Linked DNA regions of Oreochromis niloticus. The main gene of each other region encodes a partner of the protein of the gene in region 3 in a complex. Links are inferred from orthologs where the notes say so. Each region holds a gene or a part of one and is shown on either strand. Other genes may lie near its edges. The genes, in order: lamtor4, lamtor3 and flcn.

What was found.
Region 1: flcn (region 3) and lamtor4 share a complex: the UniProt entries of both Homo sapiens proteins name them as parts of the lysosomal folliculin complex. The link is inferred for Oreochromis niloticus from reciprocal best matches to the Homo sapiens genes FLCN and LAMTOR4.
Region 2: flcn (region 3) and lamtor3 share a complex: the UniProt entries of both Homo sapiens proteins name them as parts of the lysosomal folliculin complex. The link is inferred for Oreochromis niloticus from reciprocal best matches to the Homo sapiens genes FLCN and LAMTOR3.

Annotation. Positions count from the first base shown.
Region 1 is NC_031981.2:23,194,953-23,199,397, forward strand, and holds lamtor4 (ragulator complex protein LAMTOR4), read right to left. Parts: upstream 2,970-4,445; 5' UTR 2,864-2,969; coding exon 2,861-2,863; intron 2,157-2,860; coding exon 2,073-2,156; intron 1,699-2,072; coding exon 1,581-1,698; intron 1,314-1,580; coding exon 1,216-1,313; 3' UTR 1,130-1,215; downstream 1-1,129. Other genes in the region: atp6v1f (V-type proton ATPase subunit F), read left to right, coding at 3,314-3,471. UniProt on the Homo sapiens protein: As part of the Ragulator complex it is involved in amino acid sensing and activation of mTORC1, a signaling complex promoting cell growth in response to growth factors, energy levels, and amino acids.
Region 2 is NC_031983.2:3,098,666-3,103,422, reverse strand, and holds the start of lamtor3 (ragulator complex protein LAMTOR3), read right to left. Parts: upstream 3,587-4,757; 5' UTR 3,505-3,586; intron 439-3,504; exon of another isoform or gene 306-438; intron 83-305; 5' UTR 36-82; coding exon 27-35; intron 1-26. UniProt on the Homo sapiens protein: As part of the Ragulator complex it is involved in amino acid sensing and activation of mTORC1, a signaling complex promoting cell growth in response to growth factors, energy levels, and amino acids.
Region 3 is NC_031976.2:22,273,343-22,278,099, reverse strand, and holds the start of flcn (folliculin), read left to right. Parts: upstream 1-1,639; 5' UTR 1,640-1,881; intron 1,882-2,050; coding exon 2,051-2,254; intron 2,255-2,370; coding exon 2,371-2,835; intron 2,836-2,918; coding exon 2,919-3,085; intron 3,086-3,170; coding exon 3,171-3,262; intron 3,263-4,757. Other genes in the region: leng9 (leukocyte receptor cluster member 9), read right to left, coding at 974-1,088. UniProt on the Homo sapiens protein: Multi-functional protein, involved in both the cellular response to amino acid availability and in the regulation of glycolysis.

The DNA.
Region 1 (4,445 bases), on a different chromosome or scaffold from region 3:
CCTGGATATTTCATATATTGTTTATCTTTTGTTGCTGAATTTTTTAATGTTGGTGCAGTTTGCATAAGAAATGTTTCCATTGATGAATCAGATGTTGATTTCCATATAAATTACTCTTGGGGTCCCCTGGTGGTCACATGGCTTCATGTCATAACTGGCAAAAATACAAGAATGTCATGCTTTGGCCTACAGCGGGAAAATGGTTGAATCTGGTATAGTAAAAATGTCAAAAATCACTACTTTTCTTTAAAATTAAAAGATGACACTACAGAATGCATGCTTTAAAACTGCAGTGGCAGGGAGATTCAAAAATGTGGTTTCAGTGGTAGTGAAGGGCATGTTTGTATCCTGTCCTGTCGGGCAGCTTTTGCAATCAGAATTATGATGTGATGGCTCGCTGGTGTCCAACACATTTTGCTTTTGCAAAAATAACTCTATAGAATCTAATAGACTCCTCCTTCATGTGAATCTTTTATTTATCCATTTGTGTTTGTGTTATTTCAGGTATTACATTATATATGGAATAGTATGACGTGCCTGAGTGAGTGTGAGAATACCGGTGTCTTTGTCACAAATGTATAATGAGGGTGGGAAACTGCAGCGATGCCCAGAGGCAGACAGATGGAACCAGGACAACCGCACCATCCGCAGCCCCCAAGTGTACCAAAGACCTGAGGCCACACATCTCGGTGACATCTGCGCACCCATCCCAGCAGGAGAAGGAGGGAGGCCCCAGATGGGGTGACAGCCCAAGAGGACCAGAGGCAGTGGGCAGTCGACCCTGCTAGAGGCTGACCACCCTGGTAAGAGTTGAGAGGATGGCCCCAGGCGCCCAGGACCACCCGGCCCCCAGCCAAACCGAGCCACCAAGGGAGCGGGCCAATGACCACGACTAGAACATTCAGCCACGTTTCCGCGAAAGCAGAACATATGTTACTGTATGAGGACTTTATGGCAGACTTTGTGTGTTTACATTTTTGTACACGAAGGTGTTGAAAGGGTGCAAAATTGGAGGAGGGCACAAAGGTTAAATCATGTTTTCAGGTTTTTAGGGTCTGCTCACAGCAGGTCCTACAGGTGGGATCCTCCGCATTCACACCTTCACAGTTCCACTCGATCAGACCAAAGGTTTCATGTTCAAAAACTTTTATTTCACACAAACTTTAAACATCAAAAACATCATCGTCATGGCAACTCTGTACTCCAGCTGAGCTCCTACACACTGATTGGCTCTTGCTGGTTGTGCTGACGTTTGACCACAAAGACCTTCTGACCAGAGACCGTCACTGTGTACACAAAGTCGTCCAGGATCACTGCAGACACACACACACACACACACACACACACACAGGTTAGTCCACCTGAAGTCACAGGGTTCCACCTGAGCTTTGTATGCCATCATGCAACATGAACAACGTGCTCATCAAATACATGAAAATGTTGCCGATGATGCGCCAGGTTTGAATCATGTGACAGTGATGACATCATTAACAGGTCTGAGAAAAACAAAGCAAAACACCCGAGTCATGTTTGTTTTTACTGTAGCTGATGAAGTGAGAGTGCAGGTGTGTTTGTGATACCTGACATGCGTTTGAAGGGTGGATCAGCTGATCCTGATAACCTGAAGCGACTCGCTGTTCGAACCATCTGCATCATGACACCTGCTGTGTGCTCGTCATTCTCCAGCTCACCTGCAGACTGATCAGTAATCAATAATCAATCACTTTGATCCTCTTCTGATCAATAGACTTAACTCGACTCTTTAATCTATTTTAATAATCTGATGATCCTTATTTCACCCTGTTTATAGCACTTTAATAATCCAGAATAATCTGACCAAAGACCAGAGTTCAGCTCGCAGTATCAAATGTGAATTCATTTTAACCTGTAGGAATGTTAAATGAGCTTAAATCTAAATGGAGTCTGGTCTCTGTGTGACCAAACTAGCCTGAGCACCAGCGTCCATGCAGAAATCCCCTTATTTAACAATGAGTGCGGTTAAATAAAGACCAAACTGCATTCATAAAGAACTTCTTTGTGAACTGAACATCTGAAAGCTCAGAGAGACTCACGGCCAGGACACCGTCCTCACTGATGACCAGGTACCCGAGCTGGTCCGGGATCCGCTCCAGACCCGCAGTGAGCGCCGCTGTGGCCTGAAAAGAGGACGACATCATCAGGATAACATCATGAAGCTAAAAGGAAGTGATGTTTGATGACTCATTGGTTCACTGATAAATGAAAATCAGCAGGGCAAGAAGCGCGTTTCCTCAGGTCGAAGCTTCAGAGACTCGCTAAACAGCCTTAGATCATTTGTCCAGTAACAATTCTGGATCTTCATCAGGTACGACCTGTGGTCCTCAGGAGCCAATGGGGTTACCCCTTTAAAGATGGTTTCTTGGTTACCATGGTTACATTCGTCCTGCATACATGACACACACTCCCTGTTTCACAGGAACACAGGTTAGACCCCAGGGCGCAGGTAAACCCGCTTTGAATGTCACTCCCCCTCCTCTCTGTTTGTACCACTCCCTTCCTGCAGAGGGGCGCTGTTGCTGTCCCACAGGTATTTGCATTGAGCCCGATTATCAGTGATTATAACTCTGAAGAGAGCCCCAAGCTTCACCCTTGGAGCGCTCTGGGTTTCATTTTTTGAAGGGAAGCATTTCCGCGTGTTTATCCTCCTTGTTCACAGAGAGGCTAACAGGAAGCTAACAGCGTTAGTGAACGGCACACAGCGGACAGTCCGAGATCCGTGAACGCCTCACCGAGGCACTGAACGCTGAATTAAAAACAAAACAAAAAAACCCCATAAACAACCCCCCCAAAAACGAGAATCAAAGTAAAACTTTAAACTCACCATCTTCGTCTTCTTCTGCTTCTACAGCCCGCAGCTGCGCATTTCCGTCTTTATCACAGAGCCTCACGTGACTGCTGAGGCCTTCATGTCCTGTCGGACAAAAGAGCCAGACACAGACACTCACGCACAGTGCGGGACTGACGATCTGTGCTTGTCCCGATTATCAAAGCAAATACGAATAAACGTTTGTGACATTTTAGGAATGTTTGGATTAATACCGAGGACGTTGCTGTCTAAACATGACCTCATTGTTGCCATTCCGATAAAGATGAAAATAAAATAAAACACACACACAAAGGAAGTTTGATCAAATAAATGAGTGATCGTTTATAGTTTGTTAATTTCTATAGGGGGCGCTATATTGAAGCGGAAGTGCGGGTCAGCTGATCCCTCACATGACCTGTCCCGTGAAGCTGAGTGTTTCTCTCCGGGAATCTCACCTGCATCTCCGTGATGGCCGGCCGCGGGAAACTGATCGCCGTGATCGGAGACGAGGACACGTGCACGGGCTTCTTGCTCGGCGGGATCGGAGAACTGAACAAGAACCGGAAACCGAACTTCCTGGTGGTGGAGAAGGAGACAAGCATCACCGAGATCGAGGAGACTTTCAAGTAAGATGGACTCCACACGCACACACACACACACACACACACACACACACCAAAATGTGTTAAAAAATCAGCCCATTTAACGCTCATTTCACGTGTTTCTGTCAGTGTCAACTGACCGAAGGTGTCGGTGGTCCTCGTGGGTCAAAAGTCAGATCGGTTTTATAATAATTCGGACAGCACCAGCCTGGAACCGTATTAACCCCTCGATGACTTCAAAAACACTGGCTGTAGGACAGGAGGCCGGCTGCGTTTTTGATGAAAATGCGAATGGACTCTGGTGTATTTGGGCCCAGTCTGTAACTACATCCAGCATCCTGAGTTTTCAGCCCTTAGATGATCGTCTGATAGAGTGTAATGGATTGATCAGCCGATCAATATATTAATCCAGCTCTCAGTTAATCTTCATGAAATGAACTTAACCTGTTAAACGCCGTAAAATTAGAAAAGACTTCAGTCTGTTCCTGTTTCTGTGGATGCCTAAACCTGACTTCAAAAATCAGTGTATCTTAAAAGTTATTCAGTCTTTCTGACTTCATTAAAACTACACATAAAAAATCGCGATCTTTGTAAATGTAGCATGTTAGCTCTCACACCGGACTCTATTGAAGAACCAGAGCTTTTTATTAAATCTGTGTGTATGAAATCAGCATTTGCAATGAGGGATATAATATTAGCACAAATTTAAATACTTTACAATAATTATGATATTTTATAATATATAATCTTTTATGATCGCTTAACACATTTTTTTCCTTTTGCTTAATTGTTGACTTGCATTTATAAGTTAGTTTCAGAGAAGTTGGTCTGGTGCTTTGGGGTTGTATTCCTGAAATTTAACTTAATGGCCTCATGTGCTGTGTGACACACACCAGACTCCATTCAAAAATCAGCTGATTTAAATGATCACTGTTGAGTTTGGAAATGTTTTTGATATCTTGAAACAGACCAGCTCTTACAGTGATGATCAGGAATCC
Region 2 (4,757 bases), on a different chromosome or scaffold from region 3:
AAGAATGACAAACATCTCATACTTACATCGGCCATGGCAGCTATCGAGGTATCGAGACCGCTCGACGACTGCAGGGAGATGACTGTAATGATAGTTGTTCACACAGAGGACTGAGTACGTCGTCGGAACTTCACATTCTTTTATGTCAAATAAACCACACAACCACATGAGCTGTTTCCCAGATAATACAGCGATAATATAAATGCGTCAGTTAATATCTCCTTATTAACCTACAAACACATGATAAAAATAACCAGGCAGGCAAATCGGAAATACACATTAAAATCTCAAACGAAATGACAAACCTTTGAACGACTTTAAAACAAAAACATAACCCTCAGTATCTGGAAAGGGAGATTAAAAAAACATAATCACGTGATTACTTCTTCTTCTTGATTTTAGTGGCTGGCAAACTACAAAGTGTCGCATTAGCGCCACCCACTGGTATAGACCTGAAAGGTGCTCAAAAATCACTTTCTTCTCTTTTTGTAGTACATTGATCACCTTTCACTTTACTGAGCTTGGATCGGTTGCCTATTCTCTATTGGTGTTTTTCGTATTTGATGTAAACTGCACAGAGAAAAACACCAACAGATGAATATATGAATATGTATTCATTATATGAATATGTCTTCCCTCCATCATTCCTTTCTTTTCTTTCCCTAGTTGCTTTTCTACGTTTCCCCAGTTTTGGTCTTATTATGCTCTTTATTTTATCCAGCTGCCGTTGGTAATTAGATCAACTGAAATTCTTTCTTTGGCTTCTTTTACAGCCAAATCTAAATGTTCTTTTCCTTTTATCCCATAATTTGCTGATAAGGGTGGTACATTGTTTCTGTGCTTTGCACTGTCACCTGAGAGCAAAAGATTTTCTGGCTTAAACCCTGGCAGGTTCTCCCTGTGCTTGCAAGGGTTTTCTCCAGCTCCTATGAGACATCCATGTAACATTAAGTGGTCATACTAAACTGGCCAAATGTGAACTAGATCATCTTAAACAGTGTATCTTGATTGTGGCCCTGTAAATTTACCCAGTTCCCAGTGATAATAGTTCTCTTTTGATTTCTAGTGGCATTTCCTTCATCTGTATCTCTAATACTGTTGCTGGGGTTGATTTAAACACAGTGTGCAACGTCTTAGAGGCTCTTATTGAATACAGTTTAACTTGTACAACTGTTGCTGAACCATACCCGAGATCACAGGTATCAAACTCCAGTCCTCAAGGGCCAGTGTCCTGAAACTTTTCCATGTGTCCCTGCTGCAACACACCTGAATAATATAAGTAGGTCATTAGGAAGACTGCAGTCAGCCATTTGATTCATGTTACAGCAGCTCATAAGTGAATGAACATGGTGCAATAAACGTACTTTTAGACTTTACTTCACTTTAATTTACTTCAGTAGGATTAGGGGTTGCCACCTCAGCATGCAGTGGAGTTCTATAGAGTCTTGCAAATGACCTACTAATTTTATTCACATGGAAAAGTTTCAGGACACTGGCCCTTGAGGACTGGAGTTTGACATCCCTGATCAAATACTGATCTGATTGACCCGGTGTATACAAATTTCTATCTATGCCCATTCGCTTCCAACTAAACACCTCGTTACATTTGATACTTTTTTGCATTCTTCTTGCACACATTGCTCCGTTGTCTGCAAAACATGAAATCCTCCAACCCAGGTAGATGAACTGCAGGTGAGTAATCATCCCAGAGAGGGACTTTCCACAAGTATAATTATTTGTTTCTTAGATGGGAGAATATAGGGTGGTACCCTGGTAAGTACAGATAAGTAAACAATGAATAGTTAAACTTGTCCTGTGAGCAAACACTTAGTGACAGTGTAAAGGAAAAACTCCCTTTTAACAATAAGAAACCTCAGGCTAAGGGAGGAGCAGCCATTCTCTACAACCAGTAAAGGGAAAAAGGGAAAGAAGAGAGTAAAGAGAGACAGAATCAAAGGCAAACCATGTAAGAGAGAAATAATCGCTAATTATTAAATGCACCAGTGGTGTATAAACACAAAGAGATTGAAAAGAGATGAATAAAAAAGAAATGCTCAGTCCATCACGGGAAGCTCCCCAGTCTTTTGCAGCATAACTAAGGGGTGGTACAGGGTCACCTGATCCAGCTGATACACTTTATCAAAAATGGGAACCTTAAGCCTAATTTTATAAGTAGAGAGAGCATCTGCCTCCCTAATTGAAGCTGGGACCTAAAAGTAGCGCCTCAAAGCTAAAGGCTATGTTTTCCATTCAACTTTTAAAAAATCTAAGAATCATAAGGAACCCTGCAGTCTGAAAGCAAAGTTAGGATAATGAGGTATGAGGTCTTTAAGACACAGTGGGGCATAATTATTCAAGATTTTGAATTCTCTCTGCTGCAGCCAAAGGCTTCTCAAGCACCTTTCAGAGTGACCTGATGGAACTCTCTAACTGTGTGAAGCTGTGATTAAAACCACTTTGTTGCAGTTACTTTAATACCAACAGTTTGTATCTCTGCAGTAAAATACTGTGCTCAATAGTAATGAATGTTGCACTGAGCATCTAGCAGATGCTGAGTCTAGCAGAACAGGCACAGGGATGAGTTAACTGTCAGAGGCCATAAGAAGACAATTCACTAGTGCTGTTTCTGTGCTATCATGCACTCCACATCCTGACTGAAACCCTTGAAACTGTTCCTATGCAAATGATCAGTGAACTGCTTGACTACTACTCTTTCAAGAATTAAAAAAATAAATAAAACAGGTGCGTCAGCCTACAGTTTTGGGAACAGGTAAGGCATCACCCTTTTACCTGTTCCCATAAAGAAACTGAGACTGCCTCTCTCCTTCTAGTATTCTCTCTGCACAATAAAGGGAGGGTCTGTATGTAAAAGCAGTTCTCTGACCAGACTGCTTCATGTGTATGGCGTGGCAGTGCGATTTTCCACTGTCTTTAATGAAAAATGGTGCTTTTGTCACGGTACTGTGTCTGTGACCCAGTGTTTTGCGTGTTTTAGTTTTCTTCTTTGGTTAGTGTTATTTTCTCAGTGTTTCCTGGTTTATTTTGAAAGAGTCTTGTGTGTCTTTGTCATTGTGTTTCACTTCCCCTGTCTAGTCAGCTGTTTCCCTGTGTGTTTTCACTTCCTCTGATCACCTCCTGTGTGTATTTAAGTCCTCGGTCTTCCTTTGTTCATTGTCAGGTCGTCTGTTTCCCTCCACGTCTCGTCACAGTATTCACAGTCGTCATAGTTGATTCATAGTTCTACAGTCTTGTCACAGTTTTCATAGTTTTTTAGTTTTTCCCAGTTTAGGTTTCAGTTTAGCTGTCGCTCCTTGTTTTGCCTTTGCTCAAATTTTATGTTCATGTCTACCAGCCAAAATAAACGACTCGCTTTTGTTTATGATGGGGAGCTGAGCACCCCTAAAACTCTGAACCTAAATTTGCCCCTCCCCATTCTTACATGATCTAAATTACATTTTCATCTAGGTCAGCGAAAAGAGGTTAGGAATAGACGATAGGAAGTACCTTTAGAGAGTGATGGGATGCACTGTGCCAAGGCTTCGGAGTGTGTGTCGAAATATCCAGGAAGTATTTTATGAAACGTGAATCGAGGCTTGTTTCCTTAAGAGTGAGTGATGTCACTGACGACGCCTGAAGCCTGGCTGGTTCAGAAAGTGGTGGTGTGATTTTTGCTCATATATGGAAAGCCGTGGATTCCTGTAAAATTTGTGTGTTAGTGTTCGTGCTTGGAATCGAGAACTGGTTCTATGGGCTCAAATGTGGTCATAAATATTTTGTACTTGTAAATCAGGATTTGTATGTGTAAAAAGAATTTGTGCGTGCGTAAAAAAGATTTGTATGTGTAAAAAAGATTTGTGTGTGGACTTAGCCAAAAAAAACCCTGCAAGTTACAAGTACGAATTTTGACCCTATTTTTCTTCCTGTCATCTGATTGGTCAGTGTCATGTCAATCACAAATGTAACAATCCAATCAGAGAACAGATGGGTTTGGCTGTCGGAGGGGCACTTTTTTGAACTGCAGGTCCTTGAAGGGTAATACAGTTTGAAGCTGGAGGATCTCTATATAAATATCCGATAGCAGCTAGGTCCCCTTACTTTCAGCAGCTGTTGAAAGGATAAAGTTGTGGTATGTCAGTGGTTAGAAATACCATTATTACTTTAGGATTAGTTTAACACAAAGTCAGGGCTGACCCGGGACCATTGCTGTGAGTCACAGTGCGCAGCATAAAGGTCCTTTCACATCGGACGCAGGATGTGCTGCTAATGCTAACTGCTAACTAAAAGCAAAGGATCCAGAATTTGTTGCGCTGGCTGCTGAGCTCTGTGGGTTTTTGCAGCAGCGCTACCTGTACTAGATGCACCTGCTCCTTGTCGTTTCTATCTCTGACTTTATGTCCTCTACAACAGTTTCTGGTTTTTTTGCTAGTTCTTTAAATGTTCAATAAAAACATGTATGCTAATTCATAACGAAGAAAGCTTTGTAATGAAGACTGTCATTTCCAAAACACTGCCCCCCCCCCCCGCGGTCCGCAGCGCTGTTGAAAAGGCTGTGGAAGTCCCTGTATAAAGCACGTAGACCTGTGACACAAAAATCACCAAACTCGGACGACCACAGACTGTTTTCCTTCGTGGTGATGAAGGAAAACGCTGGGTTGGCATGTAAAAGGGCATTTATTCCCTTCAAGGACCTGCAGTTCAAAAAAGTGCCCCTCCGACAGCCAAACCCATCTGTTCTCTGATTGGATTGTTACATTTGT
Region 3 (4,757 bases):
TCTGCGTGTGTTTACATTTGGCTGAGCTTCTGCATCAGTCTATGTCACTCACACAGACATCTGGAAAAAGGATTCCTTATCGTCTGTTCATTTACTAGAAACCCCTCTTATCATTCCCGTTACCATGCTGTGTCATAAATAAATGAGTGAGAAAGAGGCATGGGGAAAATGACGTGTATAGTCCATCTCCAGTCCACTTCCATTGAGTATTATCATATGACAAGTGGCAATGACTCAACTCAGAGGACTCAAATGTCAGCCAAGTATGATGTACATGATGAGGTTGCCTTTACACCCAAATAACACACATCCTGCAATACTATTTAGAGACAGGATGAATGAACGTGACTCATGACACAAATACTTTAATTATTAGCTGTGATTTATTTCTTAGAAAGGGAGATGGTTGTCTGGATCAGCCACAAATTTTGGTAGTTTTTTAACTCTCTCTCAAATTGAATGCCTATAAGTAAATGTCTAAGGATGAAAATTAAACATTACAACTTTGAAATTCTTTAGTATACATAAAGTTAATCCACAGATTAGTCTGCTGAGTTCCGAGTGGGAGCAGAAGCGGGCAGATCAGAGTCAGTCATTTCCTCAAATCCTGAAACATTTCCAGCAAAGCAGAGTGCCCCAGCAGGACGTGAAAAATGTAGGAAACAGTTCATTACAGTACTGGACTCCATCCTTCAGCCCCCCTTCTGATGATAAGAGGCTCCGGCCACGCGATTACAAAACTAAGACCTGGCCAGAACTCCTATTGCCCAGAGTAACACAGACTCACACCACAGACTCAACAATATGATTTATAAGTGGATTACTAGGAAAATAATAAGCTGGTGTAATCATATGAGTCAACCAGCAGGGTTTTACTGTGCATGTCTAATAACAAGATGTGCCTCAAATCACCTTAGAAGCTTTCACAGACTGACTTTAGATTACATATTGTAAGTGTGTGAAACTGATTTACCTCCTTTGGCTTTTGGGGTGTCTTTGCCGCTCTGAGAGTCAGCGGGGACCCCTGCCTGTGGACTCGGTGTGTCAGTCGGGTCGGTGGGGGGAACTCCTGATCCACCTGAAGCCATCCTAAGATCTGAGATTTAGAAGTCAAAAAGATCTGCCGTGTCACTGTGTGTAAGTTATCTCTTTGTTGACCACTTAAGAGTGACACACCTATAAAAAACGTTCATGTTTTAATGCGGAAGTGACGGATTAACGTTGTACAGTGTTAAAAGAGAAGCTAATAAACCAGCTAGTCTGCTAAGATAGTATATTTAAACCATATATACGCTTAGAAATCAACCGGAACATACCTTTTAGTACACAAACCTTCAATGAAAACAGTTCCGACTTTTTTTTTATTCCCCTTTAACCCCTTGTTTGTTATACCAGATTGGGTTATGGGTAATGTAGTTCCACTTTTTCGTTTGCCGAGGAATGCGTCGTTTGTCGTACATAAAGCCTGATATTGGCACACAAAAAAGTTGAAAAACTATTAAATATGTTCGCGTGCTTTCACGTCGCTGGTAAAGTATTAAAGATGTTTTTGATTCGACGGTTAAAACGGAGAAAAATGAGCAGCAGTTGGCAGCCACGCGTCATTTGTGCCCGAGCGCGTGACTCTGCATCATGTGACGAGGTCTGTTTTTGTTGCCTGCTGGCAGCTACACAGAGGACAACAAAAAAGTGTAGAAAGCCTCAGTTAAGATGTTAGGAACGATGGTTTTTTAAAATACGGGCTCGATGAAGATTTGATTTTGTTTCACGGCGCTGTTATTTTTTTTTTTTTAACGGCACGGCTTTTTGAACACTACGTCCAATGAATTCCTCTTTGTGAAGTGTCACCAGTCATTTGTTGAACTTGGTTCTGCACCGAAGGTAAGACAGTCTCATACTGCCAGCTGTACCCGTATTTTAACCCCAGTGTAATCTGGTAACGTCAGTGATTAACCAGAACTAGATGTGGGTGTCATGACTGTGGGTGTTCAGATCTAAATCAGACATCTTTAGAACAGTAAACATATGAAAACTTGTTTTGTTCTTTCAGATGAATGCTCTGGTGGCTCTCTGTCACTTCTGTGAGCTCCATGGCCCTCGGACCCTGTTCTGCACTGAGGCACTACACCCGCCTTCCCCATCCCCTTCATCCCAGGCAGGTGCCCAAGTGCCAGGGGACCGAGATGGTGACCGTGATGGTGAAGGTCTAACCATGAAGGCCAACAGCTCAGCCACACAGAAAGAAATGTGTGAGGTGAGTAGAAGGGGCCTGACTGCGACCTTATCAGATACTTGGATCCCTCGCTTTATTTGTTTCTTCATTAATTTTCAGCCTTAAAGTACTAATTTCCTTTTTTCTTTGTCTCATAGGGTTGCCGATCCTTGCCTGCATCTCACCCGGGCTTTGTTAGCATTGATGATGAAACAGGCATCCGCTTCCTCAGCCACCAGCACCCCAGACAGCCCCAGCTTTTCAGCGTGGTCCGACAGGCTTGTGTACGCAGTCTCAGCTGTGAGGTAATTAGTGACATGTTTACGTGGGTGTTGTCTGTGGGCTTTAATCGGCTGATTACTGATATACTTCTTTATGTTTTCTGTTTGTTTTGGTGTCAGGTCTGTCCCGGACGTGAAGGGCCCATTTTTTTTGGAGATGAGCAACATGGATTTGTGTTCTCACACACCTTCTTTATCAAAGACAGTCTCGCTAGAGGCTTCCAGCGTTGGTACAGTATTGTTATGGTAGCCATGGACAGAATCTACCTTATAAACTCCTGGCCTTTCCTGCTGCGTCACCTCAAGCTTACTATACAGAGTCTGCAGAGCACAGCTCTAAAGGTAGAGCACGTATATAAACATAATAAACTCAGCAGACTTATTTATTAGTGCTTCTGATGTCTTTGGACCATCCTTTCCATTAGGTGTTTGACAATGAACAGGGAGTTTGTCCGCAGCGAGCTGTGAGGATGAACAGTGCATTTTCACCTGCAGTTTTTCCACACCAAAGGAGCGGCAATGCAGCCCGTTCGCTGACTTCTCTCACCCAGCATCCTAACCTGTGGGCCAGCCTGCACTCCTCCTTTAGCTGGTGAGTCATTAGGTTCAAAGAAACTGTTCTTCTTTTTCCAGTCAGTCTCTCACCCGGCTAATGAGTGGTCTCACCTCACTTCCAGGTTACTTAAAGCTTGTGGTAGCCGTCTGACGGAGAAGCTCCTGGAAGGAGCCCCCACCGAGGACACTCTGGTGCTCATAGAGAGACAAACAGGTAGATGTATTGACCTCGATTAAGAGGCGTGATATTTATGTATATACAGTTGTGGTCAGAAGTTTGCTCATCATGAACATGACTCTCATAGTAATTTTGGGCTTTAAATGATTTGGTTGAACTGTTATTTTTCCAGGGTGGAATGACTGTAAAGCATACATCTTTAATGACTTTAAAAAACAAGAACTGAATGTGCAAAATTGAATTTATTTGGGATTTTCTCTAATCCACACAGTGTCAAAAATAAACATACAAACTAAAATATATATATATACGCTCCCTCTAATATTTGGTTTAATGTTCCTTAGGAAGTTGCACCTTAATTGTTCAGTAAGTATCTGGCCTATTTTGAGGGCTGGGTAGTTCACCCATCTTCTTGGCAGAGTTCATTTAGATTTGTTGGTTCATTGAACCAGCTCAGCTTATAAGCATAGTCCACATATTTTCTGAGTGAGGTCAGGGCTTAGGGAAGGTCATTTCAGATGCTTAATGTTTTTTTTCCAGCCTGCTTTATCCCTTCCAAAACCAGGTTTGATGTGTTTAGGATCATTATCCTGTGGGAATACCAACTGCGTGGTCATTATCCCATCCACTTTGTACAACATATTATTTGACTGTCAGTCAAAAGGTCTTCGAGCACAATGCTTGACAATTCAAGGCAGACTTGAGCCTTGATGCTTCCTGGCTCAAGTCTTCCAGCATCAACTGACGGTGACAGTTTGGGCCTTCTTACAGAACCTGGTAAAGTGGTGACATATCTGAATAATTTGTTCTTGCATACAACGGTTTTAACTGATAACCTTGGAATCTGTGTATTTTCTGATCTGTTTGTTAGAATGGATCCAAGAGACCGTCCCAGCTAGTGTAAATCTGCAGTTCTTCTTCTTAGATATTCCCTGAGTTCCTTTGACTTTCTCATTGTTCTAAGTATTGGTTAATCCACCGAGTGCTGTCAAACAAATCTGTTTATGCTGGCAACGAGAGAAAGTTAATAGGCCTTGGCAAGTAAAGACTTTGGCTATAAAATGATTAGGTTCTACAAACTGGTACACCCAATTCTTATTTTTTAAAGTCATTAAAGATGTTGGCTGTGCAATTATTCTACACTGGAACATGAACCGTGTTCCAGGGTAGAAAGATAATCTAACCAGCAAATTCTTGTGGTTTTCTGAGTGAATTACAAGTCCCACTGGTGGGGCTTGGAGGTCCCACAGGTGGGGCTCAGACAACCAGATGAAAAATATGAAATTGCTGAAGTTTTTAAAACAAAATTCAACGTGCATCTTTTTTTTCTTGTTGATGACTGGTTTAAAAAAAATGTGCAGTGTCACCTTGACTCAGCTTCTGAAGTGTGTGTGAAAAAGTTTAAAAACCACTTCTTTTAGATGTGGTTAGGTTCATTTTCTTCTTAAATTAACCTAAACTCATGACAGCATGTCATTAGTTTGAACAACATGCTTATGGTTTTTATCATCTGACTGAAAAACCTCTGGTG